Stegostoma tigrinum: one gene and its partner. The protein of the gene in region 1 interacts with the protein of each later gene in a pairwise test. Links are inferred from orthologs where the notes say so. Each region holds a gene or a part of one and is shown on either strand. Other genes may lie near its edges.

Evidence for each region.
Region 2: the proteins of nav2a (region 1) and pias2 interact in binary tests that used the Homo sapiens proteins (3 or more experiments, as listed by UniProt). The two-hybrid records come from large-scale screens. The link is inferred for Stegostoma tigrinum from reciprocal best matches to the Homo sapiens genes NAV2 and PIAS2.

What each region holds. Positions count from the first base shown.
Region 1 is NC_081370.1:59,651,444-59,659,456, forward strand, and holds the start of nav2a (neuron navigator 2), read right to left. Parts: upstream 3,014-8,013; coding exon 2,759-3,013; intron 1-2,758. UniProt on the Homo sapiens protein: Possesses 3' to 5' helicase activity and exonuclease activity. Involved in neuronal development, specifically in the development of different sensory organs.
Region 2 is NC_081354.1:161,550,072-161,558,076, reverse strand, and holds the start of pias2 (E3 SUMO-protein ligase PIAS2), read right to left. Parts: upstream 3,002-8,005; 5' UTR 2,903-3,001; coding exon 2,753-2,902; intron 2,659-2,752; exon of another isoform or gene 2,564-2,658; intron 1-2,563. UniProt on the Homo sapiens protein: Functions as an E3-type small ubiquitin-like modifier (SUMO) ligase, stabilizing the interaction between UBE2I and the substrate, and as a SUMO-tethering factor.

The sequences.
Region 1 (8,013 bases):
TGCAGTCTGGAAGTATGTTCCACAGCCCCCTTTTAAATGTATTTGCCGCTCTGTCGCATAAGTCATAAAGCCAGAAGATGTAGGAATGGAAGCAGGCCATTCAGCCCATCAGCTCTGCTCCACAATTCACTGAAATCACGGCTGATCTGAAAATCCTCAACTCCACTTTCAAAGCCTTTATATTTCTTACAGTTAATCTTGTACCTATATTTTCTAAAGCCTCTGAGCTACCTATAATATTGAAACATAATTCATTTCTTCATTAACGTGTTCAAATCCTCAACTGCCCTGGTCAAATCAGCAAACTGTCAGTTTTTTGCAAGTCTTTTGTCACATTCTTTACATCCTTGTAGGTAAACCCCTGACGCTACTCATGGTCTCATCCATTTGTGGGGTCATTTTAATTATGTTTTATGATCCCCTAATCCCACCCCCCTGACCTGAAAACTATCCCAATTCAATAATGTGATACTGGCACATTTCATTTTCTCATATTGAGTTCCCCTGTACCCCACTCGCCATCTCTCTTTCCAACTCCTCCCAGCCTGGAGTTTGCTTTCCTCAGTTATAATTTAATGAGCCCAGCTGACCAATTTGCCAAGGCAAATGTTTTGATGCTTTTTCATCAAACAACACGTGGCTCTCAAATATGATTCTGAGTTACAATTGAGAATACAGATCTCAAATAAAGAAACAGTCTTACTGCCATAAATGGTGACCATACAGCAATTTACACCTTCACTCATCACAGGAATGCACACAAAAAAAGCAAAAACACTCAGTCTTTTTATAAATTGTAATACAATATTTGATGGGTCAACAGACATAAAAGCTTCATTTTCTTTTCCATATCTTCCAACATTCTCCCAATTTTCCCTGCCCAAAATTGGTAATGCTGCATTATAACAAATGGAAGCTTAGAGTAATCTCAGCCTTTAGCTGGTTACTATTCCGAGGAGCAATTGAAACATTACCTAATTTAGCTTTCTTTGAAAGGCTGCAGAAGGCTAGATGAAACTGCAGAACAAATCTGACAAGGCTTTCATTTTAGTTTACACAATTGCAGGAGATATATTGTACCTCATCTAAGCAAAAATCAAGGCACAATTATTATTTAGCCCTTACAATTTTAGTCCTGTTTACTCACTGCAATATGCTCTCATCTAATTTCATTGAAAGTCCTGTTTTTTAAGAGATGACAGGGTTAAGCTGAAGGAATTCTCAACAGTCAGCTTCTGTGCGTTGGAGGGAGCAGCGATTGTGCACTGGTAACAAGCAATTAACTTCAGAAAGCTTGTGAAGAAGGCTCGGCCACTATCTTTGCACTAATAATAATTATTCCAATATTAGTCACAGGCATAAATCCCTTCAGATTCTGGCACCAGTCCAAAACTCTACCCTACATACTGTAGCCGGATATGTCACACTGACCAGCAGTTACAGTAGAATGTGCCGTTGATCATAAAATGCAGGGCACCTGGCCAAATCAAACTGAATGCCCTGTCATTTCACATCACTCCTTGTGGCTTTGTCATTTATTTTCCCTTTATTCAGTGACAGGGCATGGGCATACTGGCAAGACCAGCAGAGAGGAGCCTTAATTCACTGGAAGGAAATGATACAAGAAGCAATGCTACAGCGCCAGTAATATAGAATCCCGGACTAATGTTCTGAGGACATAGTTCTAATCTCACCACGACCAACGGAAGCAATCTGAATTCAGCACAAACCTGGAATTAAAAGTCAAATGCTGACAATGAAACTGTTTCCAAATGTCATTTAAAACCCACTCATTTCACCATTACCTTTTAGAGAAGGAAATCTGCTGTCCTTACCCGGTCTGGCTGACATGTGACTCCAGATCCACAGCAATGTGGTTGGCTCTTAACTGTCCTCTGGCAATTAGAGATGGGCAACAAGTACTGTGTCCAGCCAGTGACACCCCCGTCCATTGAATGAAGCAATATATTGTCCTTCCAAAGTGTTCTGCAGGGACAACTCAAAAGGGAGTTAAGGGTCAACCACATTTTTTTCCCTTTATTGATTCATGAGATGAGGGCATCGCTGGCTAGGCCATATTTACTGTCCATCCCTAATTGCCCAGAGGTCGGTTAAGTGTCAACCACATTGCTGTGAGCCTGGAGTCACATGTAAGCCAGGCCAGTTGAGGATGGCAGTTTCCTTCCCTAAAGGTCATTAAGTGAACCAGATGGGTTTTCCCTGACAATCAACAATGGACTCATGGCCATCATTAGATTCTTAATTCGAGTTATTTTTATTGAGTTCACATTCCACCATCTGCCACAGCAGGGTTCAAACATGGGTCCTCAGAACATTACCTAGGTCTCTGGATTAACAGTCCAGTGATAATACTACTGGGCCATCACTGCCCTGTGGGTCTGGAGTTACATGAAGGTCAGGACAGGTGAGGGATGTCAGATTACTTTCCCTGAAGAGCATTAGTGAACCACACAGGTATCTTCGTGATGACCATTGATCTGAGACTAATTCCAAATGTTAAAAGTTGAATGTAAACCACACTAACTATGATAGGATTTAAATCTGCATCCCAGAATATTGCCCCGTGACATTCCCAACATACCAACGCTTCCCTGAAATGATTAGCGAGAATAGGAATATTCCGCGGCTTGATAATCTCTTGCACATTTCCTCTTTTGCTAAACGCTACAATATGAATTGTTTTAAACCAGAGAGTCATGAACTGAAAGAGAATCACAGTTTTGTTTTTTTTTCTGACCTGGGTGTCAAAGCTATTTTCTGCCGTGTTGCTCTTGCCGAGTAGCAGCTTCTCCCCTTCACTGTCCAACACATGCGATGATTTGAGTGGGATCAGGCTCGAGTACATGGGCCTGGTCACTTCCACCTTGCTGCCCAGCTTCAGGTAACCAGACTGCTGCACAGCCCTGGCGCTGACATTTGGGATGGGGCTAGCAGTATGGACCGGCTTGGGCAGTCCCGACTTCATTTTCGAGGCCACGAGAATTGCTGGCATTTTTTGTGCCCCCCCCCCCCCCACTCTTCGATACGTCCTTCGCCTGCGAGCTCGCCGCAGTCGCCCCAGGGGAGTAGGAGTTAAGGTGCCTGGGAAACAGCAGCCTCCCGTACTGGAACCGGCTCTCTCTACAGTGTTCCGCCAAGGTGGGGTACTTCCTACCGTGTCACTTTCTGTTCCTCTGATTCAACCTGCTTCATGCCTCCCCCTCGCAGAAAGGGGACTTTTTTTGGCAGCTGTTGGAACAGAATGACGGTCGGGGAAAACAAAAAGATGCGATGGCTCACAATCTGTATCCCCTCTTCCTTGCAGCTCTGAAGGTCTGCAGTTTGTTTTCTCTCTCTCTCTCTGGAGTCAACCCCTCCGGTTCCTAAATCACGCCAGTCCAGTGCATAAATAACATGCCGCCTTTCTGGGTTCCTTGGACAAATGAGTGTAGAAAGTACAGTGTGTGTGTGCGTGCGTGTGCAGAATTTCCAACCCGTGCTCATAAGCCTCTCCAGCGCCTTTAGTCCAGATGCAGATGCACAGTTTTAATGCGTTAATATCCAGTTGTCCTTGGAAAGACGCACAGCATGTCCTCAGGCTGACCCGGGGCTAGGCTCAGTCAGAAGAATCGAAGGATCCCATAGCGAGCAAACTGACAATTCGGTGCGATGCAGTATCCTGGCCCTCTCTGTACATTTCACACACAGACAACTTCATGGCTGTGCTTCACCTGACAGAGACAGACAGCTGCAACCAATTCCTACCGCCTGTCGTTTGAAATGTGCACACATCCGTACCTTATGCTAGAAAGAACACAGTTGAGATCAGAAAGCAAGGCAGTGAAAAAAAGAGTGGGGGGGGGCGAAATCTGACAATACAAACGTCTGATTGGTCCAGTTCTCTCAAATCAGGAATACAAAAAAAATCACTGCAAAAAGGGAGTGTCCTAACAGACTGGGAACTGGCAAAGTGTGCCATTATTTCACTGTAGCACAAAAACCATCTGTAGCTTCAGTAAGCTCTCCTACATCTATATTACTAAAAAAAAGTCACTAGTTTTAAATTATGATTGAGTCATGTCAGTCCATAAAGGGGGGGGGGGCGAATCTGGGGTTCTTGTCATCGTTTCCCTACCCGTTGTCGGGAGATCTGGGTTCAAATCCCACCTGCTCCAGTGGCGGTTAATAATATCTCTAAATAGGTCGATTCGGGGGGAAATATAGAGGGAGGAGTAGGGTTCTTGTGGCAATGTCCTCAACTTTGGACCAGAAGAGCCGGGTTTAAGCCCCTCAGGCCCATTGAGAGATTTAAAATTGTCTACAACATGAGGGTTAAAAGCTGCACATTAAGCCGGAAGAATAACCACCCAGAGATTTAAACCAGCTCACTGTGTATCTGCAGATTAGTGCAGTGCAGACCCTCACCCGGAACACAGGTTCATTCGCCCGTTCTGGGCTAACGTGCAACTTGCAACACAGACCCTTTAAAAACCGAAAGAACGGCGATGCTGGAAATCAGAAACAGAAATTACTGGAGAAACTCAGCAGTTCTGGCAGCATCTGTGGAGACAAATCAAGAGTTAACGTTTCGAGTCCAGTGACCCTTCCTCAGATCAGTTTAAAATGTGTTCGGTTTAATGTGACTGAAACGGCATCTGTGTCACACGACATGCCTTGAATGAATGAATGACTGAATGAATGAATGAATTTACACGCATCTTTCAGGCACCCAGAATCAAAATGAGCGTTCGGAAGTGGATGCCTAACTTATGTCTAATCATCAACAGATATATCTTGGCACTTATTTCAAACCAGGGGATTTGGCATTTCAAGCCCCACGTTGTGTAAATAAACGGTTGAACTCTTAAGTCTTTCATTATCTGTTACAGGGCCGCCACTCCTGAACTGGGTGGAAATTCTATCTCCTTCCTGATGGTGACATTCATCATTTCAGCCAGAAATTTGAAAACGGATTAATCTTTTTTTTGAAATAGATGCATTCTCCCAGCTATTTGAAGCTGGTCGCTATATTTGCAAGCGCTTTGTCTGTGGAGATGTGTCTTGCTGACTCCTTGCGAAATGACAGCGCTATTGTAAAAAAAATTTTAAAATCATCCTCATACCAAGAAGACAGACCATAATTTACGGAGACGATCATTTTATAAACGAGATGCTCTAACGCCTTGATTGATCTGTACCATATTTCAATCAGGGCTAATGTGTTTTACCCTTTACCAGTCACGTGACAAAGAATGATGTCAGTATCATGAAGACATTTTTAACTCTTTACTATAAACTTCATAACTCCTGGATTTGGTTTCTTTCATCCATGTCTGCTCAGATTTATAATGCTCTAGTTCCTTCCTCGAACCGGTGTGATTCCTGCTTCTCACGCCTCCTATTTTATAGCACATTTTCCAGAACTCCCTCCCTCACAGTACTGTGGGTTTTTCTGCAGCACATGGACTGCAGCAGTTCAAGGCAGCAGCTCATCACCACCTTCTTCAGGGGCAACTAGGAGCGGGCAATAAATGCTCACCCAGACAGCAATGCCCACATCCCATGCAAAGGTAAAGTTGTCCTCCCAGAACATGGAACTGCTTGCACTGGTAAAGAGAGAGATGACAAGTGCTAGTTTAACCTGCCTCAGGCAAGGGGAGAGCTTGAGGAGAGTCTTTCACAGTAACCTCAGCCAAAGTAGGAACTGAGCTCATCTTGTTGGTATCACAAGTCAGCTATTCGGCCAACTGAGATCACCAAAGTTTCTGATTCTCAACGGGAATCAAATGTTTTCCCATTCATGTTTCTTCTCCAGCTTCATCCTAAGTTTCTCTTTAAAATGTCTCTTCAATGCTCCAATCATTTTGCTCATGACAACTGACAGCAAGGTTTAGCTCTGTCTTTAGATCTTCTGCTCTCTGAAGTTCAACAGAAGCTCAAACTCCAGTTCACTCACTTCATTTTTCTGTCCCCTTGAAATTTGTCTATCTTCTCGACAAAACATTCAATATTTGATTCATTTCAGGTTATTAAAGGAGTTTTCTCTTTATTCATTCACGGGACATGACTGTTGGTGGTAAAGTCAGCATTTATCGCCAATCCACAGTTGTTGTTCTGAAATTGGTGCGGAAACCTCCTGCTTGCAGCCTGTTTGGTGAAGGTGCACACACAATTACTGTTAAAGGGAGCAGCTCCAGGATTTTAATCCAGTGAATATAAAGGAGCACAAATATATTTCCAAATCCCATGGAATGTGCCATGGAGGGGAATCTGTAATTGGGGGAATGCATTTGCCTGGATGGGTGTATTTCAAACAACACTAAAGAAGCTCAACACCATCCAAGACAAACAGTGTGGCTTGAGTCACACCCCTTTCAACTTTCACTCCTTTAGCACTGATGCACAATGGCAGCATTGTGTACCATCTGCAAGAAAATTATTCACAACATATATCTGTGATTTGGATGAAGAAAAGTGCATGTACTACCGCCAAGTCTGCAAATAGACTCATAAAGTCATAGAACTGTACAGCATGGAAATAAACCCTTCAGTCCAACTCATCCATGCTGACCAGATATCCTAAATTAATCTGGTCCCACTTGCCGGCTATCAGCCCATATCCCTCTAAACCATTCCTGTTCACATACCCAAGCAGATGATTTTTAAAAGTTGTAATTGTAATAGCCTCCACCACTTCCTCCAGCAGCACATTTCATACACACACCACCCGCTGCATGAAAACATTACCCCTTAGGTCCCTTTTAAATCTTTCTCCTCTCACCTTAAACCTATGCCCCTTTAGCGTTGGACTCTGCTCCCCTGGGGAAACACCCTTGGCTGTTCACCTCACCGAGGCACCTCATAATTTTACAAACTTCTAAAATGTCACCTCTCAGCCTCCAATGCTGCAGGGAAAATAGCCCCAGCCTATTCAGCCTCTCGTTATTGCTCAAATAGTCACATCCTGGCAAAATCCATGCAAATTAAGTATTCCAAATGTGGCTGAACCGGAAGGGCCGAATTGTCTCCTCCTGCTCCTATCTCCTTTGTTTCTATGTACTGCCACAACATGACCTCTCAACTTCTATACTCAATGCACTGACCAATAAAGACAAGTTTACCAAACACCTTCTACACTACCCTGTTACCTGTGACTCCACCTTCAAGGAACTGTGAACCTGCACCCCACGATCGCTTTGTTCAGCAACACTCCCAGGACACTACAATTAAGTGTAAAAGTCCTGCCCTGGTTTGCCCGTCCAAACCGGTGGGAGTGTTAAACCATGGGGCATAATCTCAGATTAAGGGATTGCGTATTTTAAAAAGAGATTAGGATGAACCTCCTTTCTCAGAGGGGAGCGAATCTCTGTAATTCTTTACCATAAAGGGCTGTTGCAGTTGGGCCATTAAGTGCATTCAAGGCTGATATGGGCAGAATTTTAATCAGTAAGGGAACCAAAAGTATGGATATAACCCTTGAAAGGAAAGTGGAGTTGAGGATTATAAGATCAACCATGATCTCAGTGAATGGTGTAGCAGACTCAATGGGCTGAATGGCCTGCCTCAGCTCCATGGTCATATGCAAACCAAAGCTCCTTCACCACCACCTCTATCATCTAAAAGACAAGGCATCACATTAGAACCATACCCACTGCTGTTTCCCTTCCAAGGCACACACCAACCTGACTTATCAGGTCATTTGATCAACATTGCTGGATTAAAATACAAGAAGTCCCTCCCCATCAGAACTGTGACTATCCCAGTAGCATACAGACTTCAGTGGCTCAAACTTCCCAAGGAATGGGCAAAAAAATGTCAGCCCAGTTTGTGACACCTACATCCCATGAATGAATTTTTTAAAAAAAAGATTACGCTACTATCTGAAAATCAGAGCCAAAAATGGATCAGACATTCAACTGATGCCACCTCTGTCCCTTATTGTACACTTCTGGAGTCCTCAATATTTTAACAAGTGAGTTATTGTAGCCACAGTCAGGGTAATTGATCAAATGG
Region 2 (8,005 bases), on another chromosome or scaffold:
TGTTGTAACCCCCTTGTTCAAGAAAGGATCAAGACAAAAGATGGAAAATTATAGGCCGATTAGCCTAACCTCAGTTGTTGGTAAAATTCTAGAATCCATTGTTAAGAATGAGATTTCTAAATTCTTGGAAGTGCAGGGTCAGATTAGAACAAGTCAGCATGGATTTAGTAAGGGGAGGTCATGCCTGACAGACCTGTTAGAATACTTTGAAGAGGTAACAAGTATGTTAGACCAGGTAAACCCACTAGATGTTATCTATCTAGACTTCCCAAAAACCTTTGATAAGGCGCCTCACGGGAGGCTGGTGAGTAAGGTGAGGGCCCATGGGATTCGAGGTGAGCTACTGGCATGAATTGAGGAACAAAAACAAAGTTGCTGGAAGAGCTCAGCAGGTCTGGCAGCTTCTGTGGAGGAGAAAAAAAAAGTTAACGCTTCAGGTCCGGTGACCCTTCCTCAGAACTGGCATGGATTGAGGATTGGCTGTCTGACAGAAGGCAGAGTTGGGATAAAAGGCTCTTTTTCGGAACGGCAACCGGTGACGAGTAGTGTCCCGCAGGGTTCAGTGTTGGGGCCGCAGCTGGTCACTTTATATATTAATGATCTGGATGAAGGGACTGGGGGCATTCTGGCAATGATACGAAGTTAGGTGGACTGGCAGGTAGTACTGAGGAGGTTGGGAGGCTGCAGAAACATTTAGACAGTTTAGGAGAGTGGTCCAGGAAATGGCTGATGAAATTCAACATGAGCAAACGCGAGGTCTTGCACTTTGGAAAAAAGAATACAGGCATGGATTATTTTCTAAGCAGTGAGAAAATTCATAAAGTCGAAGTACAAAGGAATCTGGGAGTGTTGGTCCAGGATTCTCTAAAGGTTAACTTGCAGGTACAGTCAGTGATTAAGAAAGCGAATGCCATGTTGTCGTTTATCTCAAGAGGGTTGGAATATAAAAGCAGCGATATGTTTCTGAGACTTTATAAAGCTCTAGTTAGGCCCCATTTAGAAGACAGTGTCCAATTTTGGGCTCCACACCTCAAGACAGACAACCTGGCACTGGAGCGTGTCCAGCGAAGATTCACATGGATGATCCCTGGAATAGTAGGCCCAACATACGATGAACGGCTGAGGATCCTGGGATTGTATTCATTAGCGTTTAGAAGGTTGAGGGGAGATCTAATAGAAACTTACAAGATAATTCATGGCTTAGAAGGGGTGGACTCTGGGAAGTTGTTTCCGTTAGGCGAGGAGACTAGGACCTGTGAGCACAGCCTTAGAATTAGAGGGGGTCAATTTAGAATGGACATGAGGAGACATTTCTTCAGCCAGAGTGTGGTGGGCCTGTGGAATTCATTGCCACGGAGTGCAGTGGAGGCCGGGACGTTAAATGTCAAGGCAGAGGTGATAAATTCTTGATCTCGCAAGGAATTAAGGGCTATGGGAGAGTGCGGGTAAGTGGAGTTGAAATGTCCATCAGTCTTTAGAGTGGATGCAGTGGGCCGAATGGCCTTACTTCCACTCCTACGTCTTATGGTCTTATCTTAAGTTTCACATTTCCAAAAATCATTTCGCCACTAAACTGCATTTTAGCACTAGGTTATCATCTACACCTTTCTGACCTTCAAGTGATTTAAACTCAGGTAAATCATTATTTCAGCACTAAGCATATGTAAGTTGCTTGCAGTCTGGTAACATTGTCAACCCTCTTCCTTGTTTTCCATCGGTTCACTGTTAACACCTAATGACAAATGTTTGATGGAATCACATTAATGACAGTACTTTATATTCTTAAGCTTTTGACATAGGCAGCACTCACATTGCACCCAGCTGGACCCAAATATCACCTAGTGTTTTATTTAAATCAGGTAACTTGACCTAACAGCAGATATCCCTTATTAGGATTCAAAATATCCAATCAGATTATGACACTTGATGTTTGACTAATCAAGTGTTTAAAAAAAACGGAGGACCAGGGTTTTTTCCATTAGGGAAACTTGGCATGGCTAATTTGTCACAAGTTTAAGACGACGGGAACAGACAGCTCTGTTTGTAAAATGGGGAATCTTTTATGAGTAAAATTTTACTTTGAGATGTTCATTCAAAAGATACTTGTATATTAAATCTTTTATTTACTCAGATAATACAAAAAAACAAACTAAAGATCGGAGGAATTCGCACCATCAAAAATACAAACCAATCATGAAAGCAAAAATAACTTAAAACATCCGCATTAAAAGATACGTAAATTGCTGTCTAAAACTTAAAAGACAAAAGAACGCGGCAGGAAATAAATCACCGAAAACGCAGTTTAGTGAAACGAAAACTTAAACTAATCAGGACTAAATTCACTTCAAGTATCGGCGATAGCCTCCTCACAGAGTAGATGCCCGGAGAAGAAAAGGCGGGGGCAATTGTCAAATCAAAGGCCTAACGGCCCGGTCACCAACAGCGAGGTGGGCTGTCCAGATTATTAAAGGTCGGCTGATTTGTTTCATATAAATTTTCTCGCGGCGGCCAATTAGTTGTTAAGGTTCCGGTCTGAGGATTTTTTTTTTAAAAATCTAATTACCAGGAACGCTTCCCTGGTTGGGGTAGCTCGTTCCTCAGAGTCATGCCTTGCCTCTTTCACCTTGGCCCGCCGTTTCGAGCTGGGCACCTTCTCTTCTCCAGGTTCTGCTCCTGCCCGCCCCCTCCCTCTCCTTCTCCTTCTCTCTCTGTCTCTCTCACTCCCTCTTCCCTCGCACACTGAGCCACTCACCCTCAACTCGTCAAAATCCGCCATCTTTCGGCCCGTCCCATTATGCACTGCAGTGTGGCGTCTCGTTCGACGTCGACGGCGTGACGTCATCTTCACCCTTGGCCACTCCTTCACGCTCCAAAATTTGCTGCAAGACTTACTGGCTACCATGCCAGATACTCACCCTGATCACTGTACTGTGAGATATTGCTATCGTCTCTTGAGGCTTAAAGGCCTGTAAGTTGCACCCCACCAGAATGGAGGGAAACGTAAACAACAATGGGTAGATCCAAGATAATAAAGTGTGGAGCTGGATGAACACAGCAGGCCAAGCAGCATCTCAGGAGCACAAAAGCTGACGTTTTGGGCCTAGACCCTTCATCAGAAAGGGGGATGGGGAGAGGGTTCTGGAATAAATAGGGAGAGAGGGGGAGGCGGACCGAAGAGGAGAGTGTAGGTGGGGAAGTAGGGAGGGGATAGGTTAGTCCGGGGAGGACGGACAGGTCAAGGGGGCGGGATGAGGTTAGTAGGTTGGAAATGGAGGTGCAGCTTGAGGTGGGAGGAGGGGATGGGTGAGAGGACGAACAGGTTAGGGAGGCGGGGACGAGCTGGGCTGGTTTTTTGATGCAATGGGAGGAGGGGAGGATCTGGGCTGGTTTTCGAATGCAGTGGGGGAAGTGGAGATTTTGAAGCTTGTGAAGTCCACATTGATACCATTGGGCTGCAGGGTTTCTAAGCGGAATATGAGTTGCTGTTCCTGCAACCTTCGGATGCCGATGTGTCAGCCAACAAGTAATCTCAACGCTTAAGGAGAATACGGTTAGTTCCCCACTGTACAATCCCCTTTCTTTTCTGCATTTCCAACAGAACAATATTTCTAACTGTATCTGAAAATCAACATCTGTCTGAACACCACGTAAAACATGAAAGCAGGTTGTGAGCAATGCTGCTTGGCCTGCTGTGTTCATCCAGCCTCACATTTTATTATCTTGGAATCTCCAGCATCTGCAGTTCCCATTATCTGTGAGCAATTGCCTCCTTGCTTAACATTCGACTGTCAGTCAGAGACAAATCCTTCATCAGCAGTAAAGAGACCCACACTTTGATGGTGGTGATACCCTCATCAAAGTGTTGGAGAAATGAGCATCTTTGCTATTCCAGACACTTAATTTTACTATTTACCACAGCATGTACTTGTAATGATTTTAATATTATAAAACATTCCAAAATTCTTCAAGACAGCCTAACTAGACAAACCAATATACTGAGCCAAAGAAGTATACACTAATAGAGGAAGAGGAAGGTGTAAATGGGTCATAGTGCTTTTACTCCAAGTACTGAGCATAAAAGGAGATATGTCAACTGGAACTTGAGTCTGTAAGGTTTCAGCAAATGTTATCTCTTATTTTGCCTTGTAAATAGTTACATTTAACAAAACAATTCTGATAATGTTACAGTATAATTAATCTTATGACTTAACTTTTAAAAACCTTACATTTCTATAGCAGGTTTTAAGAAACATCTGAAAATGATCAACATGCAGAGTTAAGGGAAGAAGACAGGAGAATTGGATTAAGTAAATTGCTTACTTGGAGCAGATGTAGACACCATGGGCTGAGTCACTTTCTGCATTGTACCAATTCTGTAACCTTTAAGGAAGTGAGGTAATTTTAGTTTGGTAACAAAATTAGGGTTGGAGCTGAGAGAGCAAAGTGCGGCAGTTTCAGAAGGAAACAGATTAGTGTGGGTGAGAGGAAATTAAGATAGCCGATGCCATGCTGGCAGTTTTTAACAAAGAGAACGAGGGAAGGGGTCCAAGTGGAGGGTGAATACTGGAGACAGGTGAAGGGATCAGTGGAATGGGGTGTGGATGGGCATTGTGGTGGTGAATCCTGACTGAGAAAGTGAGCACAGAGACAGAGGTAGCAGAAAAACAGTTCGACGCCATGGTGAGCCCAAAATCCATTAAGGTGAGGCTGTAGGGGTATGAAGCTGAACTTTGCTTTCTCAAGTCCAACTCTAACTTTGGTATAAAACCCACCAACAAAGGTCATCTAGACTCCAAACGTTAGCTTGCTTTCTCACCATAGATACTGCCTGACCCACTGTGATAGCCAGCATTTTCTGTTTTCAGTTCAGATTCCAGCATCTGTAGTAATTTTCTCTGAGATAGAAAACAGCAGTCTTTGCGATGAAAATGACATGAGGTAGAAATAAACACAGAGAATTCTAGAAGACTCAGCAGGTTTGGCTGTGGAGAGAGAAACAGTTAATGTTTTGCGACTTCCTCAGAACCGAAGTCATAGGCAGAAAGCTCAGTGTGTGATCAACTAGACTGCAGACTTTGAAACAGTGACCAGGGAATGGAATCAGTGTCTGTGGATTGAAGCCTGAGAAGAGGACCAAAGGCATTTTTTTCCTGATTTCCCGGTGTTTAATTGAAAAACATCATCTAGGTTATGAGCAGACTTTAGAAAAACAGTTTGAAAATATTAAGACAGCAAAACATGTTTAATTGTATACGAGTGATGGGCATTAACTGAATACCCTTAATTTGCTTGTGCTCATAACTATTTTCTTATTAACTGAAACTGTGGGACAAAGTATATGAAATACTGAACTCCATCAGCTGTAAAGGAAGGGAATAGAAACTCATTGAGGAAAATACTGGCTACTGTGCAGCCATTAATTGCCAGTTGGCCCAGTAATAGGATGGAGGTAGGGCTTCCATATTTCAAGAACTTGGAAAGCTGTCGGCCAATCAGAAACTGGCAGCTCTGGCATTTCCACCAATAGTATTGCAACAGTGAGTCAAATTACAACAGGAAGATAGAGGGCTTGGTGACGTGTTGCAATGAAAACAATCTGGCCCTTAACATTGGCAAAACTAAAGAACTAATCATTGATTTCAGAAAGAAAGTAGGAGAACATGTCCCCATCTATATTAATGGAACTGAGGTTGAAAGGGTGAAGAGCATCAAGTTCCTCGGAGTGACAATAACTGACAACCTGCCCTTGGCTTCTCATGTAGATGTGACGGTCAAGAAGGCACAACAATGCCTCTTCATCATGTGGCTCAGGAAATTTGTCATGTCCATAAGGTCCCTCACCAACTTCCACAGATGCACCATTGAAAACATACTATCTGGGTGCTTAACGGCCTGGTCTGGCAACTGCTCTGCCCAGAACCATAAGAAACTACAGAGCGTGGTGTGCATAGCCTGGACCATCACAAAGCCAATCTTTCACGGTGGCTCAGTGGTTAGCACTGCAGCTTCACAGCACCAGGGACCCAGGTTCGATTCCAGCCTCAGGTAACTATCTGTGTGGAGTTTGCACATTCCCCCCGTGTCTGCATGGGTTTCCTCCGGGTGCTCCAATTTCCTCCCACAGTCCAAAGATGTGCAGGCTAGGGGGATCAGCCATGCTAAATTGCCCGTAGTGTTCAGGAGCGTATGGGTTATAGGGGGATGGGTCTGGGTGGGATGCTCTAAGGGGCAGTGTGGACTTGTTGGGCCAAAGGGCCTGTTTCCACACTGTAGGGAATCTAATCAAAACCAAGCACCAGGAGCACCAAGCTTAGGGCCTTGGGTAATGGTGCTCCATGCCTTGATGGGAGAGAAATCTGGAGGAGTTACACCTTGGGTGGTTGTCCCCCAATGTGCCTAGGCTGCCTACTAGGGTGGTTACCAAATACCAGCTACCAACCCATTCTGCTGGACTGAGGACTTAGTGTGGGCCTCTCCCACTGCTAGTTAATTCTTAGAGCTAGTGTGAAGAGAGCCTTAAGTGAAGAAGGGTCCAGACCTGAAATGTCAGCTTTCCTGCTCCTTCGATGCTACTTGGCCTGCTGTGTTCATCCAGCTCTACACCTTGTTATCTTAGGACAGAAACCAATACTTGTCTTGGGAACTGCTCTTTATCAAGGCGATCTTCAAGTTGCAACTGTTGTGCCTAAGAAGAAATTTTGCTTAGAACAGTGAATACATGATATACTGAAATTTGCTCAATAAGATATGTATAGGTGGTTATGGATAAATTTGCAAAATATGGTAAGACACGAGAGAAGACAGCCTACACTAATTTTTGTAAAGTTTTTGACCAAAGCTTCATGTGGCCCGTGTAAATAGCTGGAAGTTATCAAAATGCATGGTTAAGTTATATATTTTTTCTTGGTCGGCATGACTCAGCTCTAAGATCCACAAAGGGTTAAGTATAAGTTTCACAGAACTATTTTTCTGTAACTAAGGTGTGAGACACATGTTACATGTCGTTTTCAATGTTTGTAATACATTTCAGGAGTTCAAAATAACTTCAGCAGCAAGCCAAGACTCAGTCAGCACGGTGGCTCAGTGGTTAGCTCTGCTGCCTCACCGCGCCAGGATCCTGGTTCAATTCCACCCTTGGGCGACTGTGTGGGTTCCTCTGGTGCTCCAGTTTTCTCCCACAGTCCAAAGATGTGCCGGCTAGGTGGATTGGCCAGGCTACATTGCCTGTAGTGTCCAGGGATATTAGGGTTAGACGTGGGAAATGCAGGGGTAGGGGAAGGAGTCAACATAGGATGCTCTTTGGAGGCATGGTGTGGACTTCTTGTACCAAATGGCCTGTTTCCACACTGTTGGGGTTCTGTGATTCAACTAGTTTATAATCAATATTAAGGAAAGACCTGGGGAATGAAAATTAAATATTTTTACAAATGTGATAATGACGGATTTTCACCATAACAAACAGCCACTTAATAAATTTCTATTATTGATAGTTTATTAAGGGAGGTGTAGGAAAAGTAGTTTACCCTTCTCATTTGTGTTATTGTTTAATTTCTAACATTAACTTGAAAATTAACATTCATAAAGACATGAAAATATACATTGAATAATAAATGGACCAATGAAATGAAATGAAATAATATGAAATATAAGTCACCTCTCATCCTTCATCGCATCAATGAAAAAAGCCTTGGCTCTCTCAACCTTACCTCATAAAACCTCCCCTCCAGTCTGGCAGCATCCTGGTAAATCTCGTCTGCGCCCTCTCTAAAGCTTCCACATACTTCCTATAATGAGGCGACCTGCTAATGAAAGCCAACACATCACACACCTTCTTTACAACATTATCAACTTGTGTAGCAACTTTGAGGATGTGGACACCAAGATCCCTCTGTTCCTCCACACTACCAAGAATCCTGCCATTAACCCTGTATTCTGCATTCAAATACAACCTTCCAAAATGAATGACTTCACACTTTCCTGGGTTGAATTCCATCTAGCACTTCTT